Linked DNA regions of Macaca mulatta. The protein of the gene in region 1 interacts with the protein of each later gene in a pairwise test. Links are inferred from orthologs where the notes say so. Each region holds a gene or a part of one and is shown on either strand. Other genes may lie near its edges.

Region 1 (4,295 bases):
CTTCTGCCTCAGCGTACCAAGTAGCTGGGATTACAGGCGCCCGCCACCACGCCTGGTTAATTTTTATATTTTTAGTAGAGACAGAGTTTCGCCATGTTGGCCAGGCTGGTTTTGAACTCCTGACCTCAGGTGATCTGTCTGCCTCAGTCTCCCAAAGTGCTGGGATTATAGGCATGAGCCACTGCGCCTGGCCAAGAACTCAGAATTTGAACTCTTAAAACTATGCCACAGGTTGGCAACGGTGGCTCACACCTGTAATCCCAACACTTTGGGAGGTCAAGGCAAGAGGATCACTTGAACCCAGGAGTTCAAGGCCAGCCTGGGTGGGCAACAGAGTGAGACCTTGTTTCTACAAATAAAAAAATTAGCTGGGTGTGGTGGTGCATGCCTGTGGTCTCAGCTACACAGAAGGCTGAGGTGGGAGAATTGCCTGAGTCTGTGAGGTCGAGGTGGAGTGAGCCATGATCCCACCACTGCATTCCAGCCTGGGCGACAGAGCGAGACCCTGTCTCAAAAAAGAAAAAAAATTTTCCAAAAAAAAAAAACTATGCTACACTGACTCTTCAAAAAGGTTACAGGGTCAGGCATGGTGGCTCACACCTGTAATCTGAGCACTTTGGGAGGCTGAGGTGGGAGGGTCGCTTCAGCCCAGGTGTTTGAGACCACCCTGGGCAATATAGTGAGACCCCTGTCTCTTTAGAAAAAAACTCCAAAAATCAAATAAACAACAAAAAAAGTTACTGAATAGTATTCACAGTAGGGGTCCATTTTTGTAAATAAATAAAAATATTCATTAAAAAAGGTACAAAAGGTTTTATAAACCAAACTATTGAGTTTTTAATCTATGATTCCTTTTTTACAATATGCAACACTTGTATAGCAAAACCTTTTTGAATCTGCTCATAAAGTTTAATTTTACGCTGGGTGCGCAGTGGCTCACGCCTATAATTCCAGCACTTTGGGAGGATGAGGCCAGCAGATCACCTGAGGTTGGGAGTTTGAGACAAGCTTGGCCAACATGATGAAACCTGTCTCTACTAAAAATAGAAAACATTAGCCAGGCATGGTGGTGCGTGTCTGTAGTCCCAGCTACTCGGGAGGCTGAGGCACAAGAATCGCTTGAACCAGGAAGTGGAGGTTGCAGTGAGTTGAGATCGCACCACTGCACTCCGGCCTGGGTGACAGAGCAAGGCTCTGTCTGAAAAATAAAAAAAGAAAAAGAGGCCGGGCACGGTGGCTCAAGCCTGTAATCCCAGCACTTTAGGAGGCCGAGATGGGCGGATCCCGAGGTCAGGAGATCGAGACCATCCTGGCTAACACGGTGAAACCCCGTCTCTACTAAAAAATACAAAAAACTAGCCAGGCGAGGTGGCGGGTGCCTGTAGTCCCAGCTACTCGGGAGGCTGAGGCAGGAGAATGGCGTAAACCCGGGAGGTGGAGCTTGCAGTGAGCTGAGATCCGGCCACTGCACCCCAGCCTGGGCGACAGAGCAAGACTCCGTCTCAAAAAAAAAAAAAAAAAAAGAAAAAAAGAAAAAGAAATCATTAAAAAAATTTCATCTGTGACCCTACCAAATCACCTTTAAAAACAAAAGCAGAAAAACCAAATTGTTTGTGTAAGAATATATTCTACCCATAAACTACATTCCAATTCCAGGTCACAAGTCAATATTCCATCTTTCAACTCATCAAAAAAAAAAAAAAAAAAAAACAGTTAAGCAAGCTGCAGCAGCACCGCCCTACATACAGTACATCCACGGTCAACGACATCAACTGCTAGAAACTTGCACAAACTCTGTTCCTGGTTAGGAACAAATGTACACTATTGATAAACTTCACCTTTACGATTAACGAGAACTCCTGTGTGCAATTATTTCCCCTCCACTGAGTGGGCGACAGTAAGAGTGCCCATTTCAGAGATTACATTTAGTGTCTGTACTAAAGCAACCGGATGCAAAACAACTTAGTCTGCGGCTACCCACTTGAGAGGGCAAAGGTGGACTGGTAAGGCCAGCCAGCCGGGCGTCTCTAAGGTTTAACGAGACGCGAGCTCGGGCTTGGCGTTTCTCATCCTCATCTTGGGGCTGTAACAACACCCTGGAAGCGTCTGTGGTTAAAAATGCAGAACACCAGGCGTCTCCCAAGGCGCTCCCCCGTCCGCCCGGCATCGGGCCGGCTTCCACATTCACTTGTCAAGGGCACGACCCCTCTTCATAGGCTGGGGAGCGCTGCACCCCGCAAGCGCACCGGGCGCCGGCTCGGCCCCAGGCCCAACAGGTGCGGGTCCGGGTCCGCGCGAGTGCGTGCCCCCACGTACCTTCGAGGGGTGTTGAGGAGCCGCTGCTGCTCGTCCCCCTCCTCCTCATCCTCATCCGTCTCCGAGTCAGGGTGACAGTAGCAGAAGGCCCCGCTGCTCCGCTTGCGCTTGTGGCTGCCCGGACAGTAACAGAAGCCGTGGCCCGCCGCATCGTCTCCAGTGTCCGGCCTCCGGGCCGAGCCCCCCGCCCTGGCACCCTGCGCCTGCTGGGCAAGGGCTCGTCTAGGCTGGCGCAGCACCCGGCTGCTCAACGATCCCATGGGTCACGGCTCCCCGAGACTTCAGGGAGCCCAGAGAAGGGGGTCTCCCGCCATGGCCCGGCCGCCGCCGCCAGCCTTCCCCGAGCGCAGATGCCTACACCGCCACCTTCTCACGCGCAGCCCCAACCGTTGCAGCGGACGCTACAGCCTCCATCCTCCGCCCCGCCCGCAGCTTCTGGTCGCTCCGCGCGCTAGCACCGCAGAACCTCGCCCCCTCGCTTTCGTAACAAAGCGCGCGCCGGCGGGCGCATGCGTGTGGCGAGCCTCCGGAAGGGGCGGGGCAAGGCAGGCGTGCGTGCGTGGCAGGTGGAGCCTGCGCACAACGCGGCGTGCTCGTACGGGCGGGTGTTTTCGGGCTTGCGGTGGGGCTGGCTTCCAACTAACGTGAACTTAGGCGTAGACGCAGTGTTAAGCCGTAGTTCACACACGCCTTTGTAGTGGCAAGACTTGGAACTTCAGTCGCGCATTCTTTCTACAAAGGTGCCTTGAGCCCCCGGTGCTTATGGGCCTGTGCTAAGCAAGTGGCAAAACCCCGAAGCTATTTGGTCTCCTTGCGGGAGCTCGGCGCTTGCTGGGGCCGCGCTCTGCTTTGTTGGGCGTGGCCTCCTGTGAGAGGGGCCCTAGGATGAGGCGCTATGCTGGATTCCTGGGCTTCCTTAACTGGAGCCCTACCCTGCTGTAGACGTGAAAGGAACCCGTTAAGTTATGGGAACGTTCCCGGCACTCCTTTTCTTTCCTATCAAGTGCCAGTGGGATGTCCGAATAGGGTCTGGCACCATGACTGTCCGTACTCAAAAAAGTGCCTTCAGGAGGCCCTAGCAAAATTGACAAGTGTCTGCCTGGAGGAGCTGCTCTTGTGATGGACTCCGGACAGCGAGCGTTCACTCCCTGACTCCCTTCTGTTACTTTTTAAGTAAAATAATAAAAATATTTCTCCTGTGGACCCACCACTAGCTTGAAATTTTATCATACTTGGTTTCATTCTTTTTTTCCTCTCCGCTTTATTGAGGTGTAATCAATGATTCATTCTTTTTAAATAGAACAATACAGATAGGCAGAAGCCCCTGTGTACCTCCTCCATCTCATTCTGTCTCCCTCCCCAGTGGCAATCACTGTGCTGAGAATGTTGTATATTATTATGTCCATGTATGTCCTTATATGCGTACCCATATTTTCTTTTGCATGTTTAGACATATCATGGAACGGAATCATAGCTGTACCTCTCACTGTGCACCTTTCTCCTCTCAAAATTATACTCTCGAGATTTGTCCATTTGGTCAATTGCTAGATAATTTTCACTGCTCATTGAATGACTGAACCATATTTGTTTTTACATTCCTTAGTAAGAGGTTATTTCTTTTTTTTTTTTTTTTTGAGACGGAGTCTCGCTCTGTCGCCCAGGCTGGAGTGCAGTGGCGCGATCTCGGCTCACTGCAAGCTCCGCCTCCCGGGTTCACGCCATTCTCCTGCCTCAGCCTCCCGAGTAGCTGGGACTACAGGCGCCCACAACCGCGCCCGGCTAATTTTTTGTATTTTTAGTAGAGACGGGGTTTCACCGTGGTCTCGATCTCCTGACCTTGTGATCCGCCCGCCTCGGCCTCCCAAAGCGCTGGGATTACAGGCGTGAGCCACCGCGCCCGGCCGTGAGAGGTTATTTCTACTTTAACGGCCTTACAGAGCAGCAATGAACATCATGTGCAATGGATTCGCCAAGCCGAT
Region 2 (4,113 bases), on another chromosome or scaffold:
CTGGGGTGCAGGGGAGGGTTCTGGGCTGGCTGTTGAGGTTTCCCTGGAGGTTGATGTCACTGGGGGAGTGGAGATTACTCAGGCCAGAAAGTGTGTGGGAAGCATGGCGATACAGAGTACGCCACATGGAGAGCCCAAATCAGGGGGATTCCCAAGGGAGAAAGACAAGCCAGGGACCACTTGAGGAGGCCAGGGAGGAGGAATGCAGGGATCTTGGACCCATGCCCCCAACCCAGTGGACCCACCCAGCAGAATCCATTGTTCTGAGGTTACAATGGGTGATGGCTTGGTGGGGCTGCAATGAGTGGTGGCAGGCGCGGAGGCCAGGGGAGGAGGGACATGCTGTGGGCTCCAGGTTCAGGTCTGAATTCAGGACTGAGTTGGAAGCACCGGGTCTGTGAAGTTCAAGATCTACCACTTCTGTTCCCAAACCTCCCAGTTCTTCCTCACCTTTATGCAATTTCATTTTTGATAATTTCAGCTTCCTAAATGTACACATCTGATTTCACTTTCACTCACGTCTCACCCCCACTCCTCCACCGGCCCCTTCTCACTATTGCAGACCCAGGAGACACAGGAAGTGCAAGGAAGGTCTGGAGCCCCAAAAGCCAGGAGCCTAAGGAGTCAAGTGCCCTGACAGCCAGGAACCCTGACAGCCAGGAGCCCCCACACCCAGGAACCCCAACAGCCAGAAGCCTCTACCACCAGGAGTACTGACAGCAAGGAACCCTGACACCCAGGAGCCCCTACTATAGCCAGAAAGCCAGGAACTCTAACACCCAGGAGCCCCTACAGCCAGGAACCCCGACATCCAGGGGTCCCGACAGCCAGAAGCCACTATAGCCAGGAGCGCCTACAGCCAGGAGCCCCTACAGCCAGGAACCCCGACATCCAGGGGTCCCGACAGCCAGGAGCCATTACAGCCAGGAACCCCTACAGCCAGGGGCCTGGACGGCCAGAAGCCACTATAGCCAGAAGCCCTTATAGGGCCAGGAGCACCTACAGCCAGGAGCCACTACAGCCAGGGAGCCCCGACAGCCCTGACAGCCAGGAACCATGACAGCCATGAACTCCGGAAGCCAGGAGGTCCGCAGCGGAGTGCCCAGACCTGGCAGGGTCAGAGCCCCTCAGCGGGATCCAGAGCCACCCAGCGGGATCCAGAGCCACCCAGCGGGATTCAGCGCCCGCGGCCGAGGCCCTTTCTGGGATTTCTCAGGCTCTGTAGCTTCAGCGCAGGCAGGGGCGGGGCTTTCCCTCGCGCAGCCGCTAAGCTCTCCGCGGCCCCGCCTACATCCGGCCGCCGGCACGCGATTGCTTCTGTCTGGCGGCGGCAGCATGGCGGCGGGGGCGGCTGAAGCAGCTGTAGCGGCGCTGGAGGAGGTCGGCTCAGCCGGGCAGTTTGAGGAGCTGCTGCGCCTCAAAGCCAAGTAAGCGAGGCGGCGAGTGGCAGGAGTGAGGAGCCGGCGGGAGAGGCCGCGAGACCGGGCCGGGAGTGGCCGCGAGACCGGGCCGGTGTGGGGCGGCGGGTGGCCCAGCCCGGCTCCTTGGCGCCCGGCTCGCTTCGGCCTCGGGGGACCGGGCCCGGCCCAACCGGGGATTCCCCCGAGCCTCCGGCGCTGACTGGCCCGAACCGCGGGCTCCCCGCCCCGGAACAGCGAGCAGGGCTCGAGGCTTTTCTCGCAGCCCCGGCCCCGGCCCTCGCTCCGACCCCGACGGCTGTCCAAGCCCGGGGGACGCGACCTTCCCGTCCTCTGGCCTGGGCGGCCCCGCAGCGGGACGGAGGCGGTGACTCAGCCTTGCCGCAGCGGCGGGGCGGGGGACGGGGCGGTGCCGAGACCCCGGCCCACCGCGCCACGGAGCGGGGACCCATGGCTGCGGGCTCCACCTTTCCTGTGCCCGCCGGGAGGGAGCTGCAGACCCGTCGTCGGCCCATTCCTCTTCAGCCTCCCTTCAGGAACGCCCCTGTCGCAGGAAGAGCGGCTGGGGAAGGCCCCGCTGCATTAGCTAGGCCTGGCTGCCTTTTGAAGTCAGCCTTTAAAGTTTGTTGGTCAGCAGGTAGCCTCAGTCTTCAGACCGAACCTGTTGCCGGAGACAGAGGTTTCCTGTTCCATGAACTGGTGTAGTGAGAGTCTGTTCAGATTTGGCACCGGTGTCAAGTCTTCCATCCCGGGAAGACAAAAGGAGATCCATAGGAATGCATAGAAAAAGTTTTCTGGGTGGACTAGAAGCTCTGAACTGCAAGCATGCTTACGAGTAAATGCTTACTGGCGTGCGTGTTTGCGGGGAAAGGTCTGCGCGTGGACTCCCCGTGGTAATACCACCTCACATTGTAGACTACTCCAAGGACTGAGTTGTTCTCTTAGTTGTATTAATAGCGGTTGCTACGGGAGCTCTTCTGTCGGATTGCCTGGGATCCAGTCCCACCGCAGCCACTCACTAGCCGTGTAACCCCTGGGCACATTTCATACCCAAGCCTCAGTTTCCCAACGATGAAATAGATCAGCACCTATTAGTACCTCAGGGTTGTTGTGAGGGTTAAATGAGATGACGTATGTAAAATACAATTAATACAATGCCTAGTATGCAGGAAACACTCAGTAGATGTTGGCCCTTAGGTAGGAAGCAGAGTGGTTCATGGAATTCACAGGCAAAATATACTTTGTTTTGTTTTGTTTTTGAGACAGGGTCTGGCTCAGTCACCTAGGCTGCAGTGTAGGGGAGTGATCACGGCTCCCTGCAGCCTCAGCCTCGCAGGCTCAAGTGATCCACCCACCTCATCCTCGCATCTTAGCCTCTCGAGTAGCTGGGACCACAGGTGCTCACCACCACGCCCGGCTAATTTTTATATTTTTTTTGTAGAGACGAGGTCTCTCCGCGTTGCCCAGCCTTGTCTCGACCTTCTGGACTCAAGCGATCTATCCTCCTCAGCCTACTAAAGGGTTGGGATTACAGGTGTGAGCTACCACATCTGGCCAAAAATGCTTATTGATCCAGATTTTGTTTTGTTTTGTTTTCAAAACAGGCTGTTGCTCTGTTGCCCAGGCTGAGTGCAGTGGCGTGATCTCGGCTCACTGCAGCCTCTACCTCCTGGGTTCAGGCGATCCTCCCACCACAGCCTCCTGAGTAGCTGGGACTACACGTGCGGTCCACCACGCTGGGCTAATTTGTGTATTTTTCGTAGAGACAGGGTTTCTTTTTTTTTTTTTTTTGAGACGGAGTCTTGCTCTGTCACCCAGGCTGGAGTGCAGTGGCCGGATCTCAGTTCACTGCAAGCTCCGCCTCCCGGGTTTACGCCATTCTCCTGCCTCAGCCTCCCGAGTAGCTGGGACTACAGGCGCCCGCCACCTAGCCCGGCTAAGTTTTTTTTTTTTTGTATTTTTAGTAGAGACGGGGTTTCACTGTGTTAGCCAGGATGGTCTCGATCTTCCGACCTCGTGATCCGCCCGTCTCGGCCTCCCAAAGTGCTGGGATTACAGGCTTGAGCCACCGCGCCCGGCGAGACAGGGTTTCTTCATGTTGCCCAGGCTGGTCTCTGGAACTCCTGAGCTCAAGTGATTCACCTGCCTCGGCCTTGTAAAGTATTGGGATTACAGGCTTGAGCCACCGTGACCAGCACTGTTGATCTAAATGGAGTGAAATTTTGCTGACTGAATTTGAATTAGAGGCAAGTAGTATACTCTGATTTTGCAATGGAGAGTGCAGGTGAGATGGGGTGTTGCCTTTGGAAAGGGGGAGGGGTGAGAGTTACTGACTAATGGTTAGAAATGCTTTATGGGGGTGATGAAATAACACAGCTCTTTAGGCATTTCAGGTTTACCTGGGAAATTGTTAAGGAAAAAAAGCAGGGGTTGTCGGGGGGACATGTGACATTTACTCACTGATGGAAGCTGGGCTCTGACTCATCCAGTACAGATCAGCACAATCACGGGAGTCACCAGAAGTGACCTCTTGAAATGAGCAGGTGGTCTTGTGTGGACCTGCCCTAAGTAAACGTTTTGAATTTACCATCACCTGAAAAGACTGTTTTGTCTATGTGTTTTATATGTTTGTTTTAAATGCTTCATGTTTTAAAAAGTCCTTAAACTATCAAAATGGATAAAAGTTTTTTTTTTT

The links.
Region 2: the proteins of GMCL1 (region 1) and GLRX3 interact in a two-hybrid assay, tested with the Homo sapiens proteins (2 studies listed by BioGRID and IntAct). The two-hybrid records come from large-scale screens. The link is inferred for Macaca mulatta from reciprocal best matches to the Homo sapiens genes GMCL1 and GLRX3.

Annotation. Positions count from the first base shown.
Region 1 is NC_133418.1:54,922,776-54,927,070, forward strand, and holds the start of GMCL1 (germ cell-less protein-like 1), read right to left. Parts: upstream 2,805-4,295; 5' UTR 2,577-2,804; coding exon 2,317-2,576; intron 1-2,316. UniProt on the Homo sapiens protein: Possible function in spermatogenesis. Enhances the degradation of MDM2 and increases the amount of p53 probably by modulating the nucleocytoplasmic transport.
Region 2 is NC_133414.1:142,176,977-142,181,089, forward strand, and holds the start of GLRX3 (glutaredoxin-3), read left to right. Parts: upstream 1-1,313; 5' UTR 1,314-1,335; coding exon 1,336-1,427; intron 1,428-4,113. UniProt on the Homo sapiens protein: Together with BOLA2, acts as a cytosolic iron-sulfur (Fe-S) cluster assembly factor that facilitates [2Fe-2S] cluster insertion into a subset of cytosolic proteins.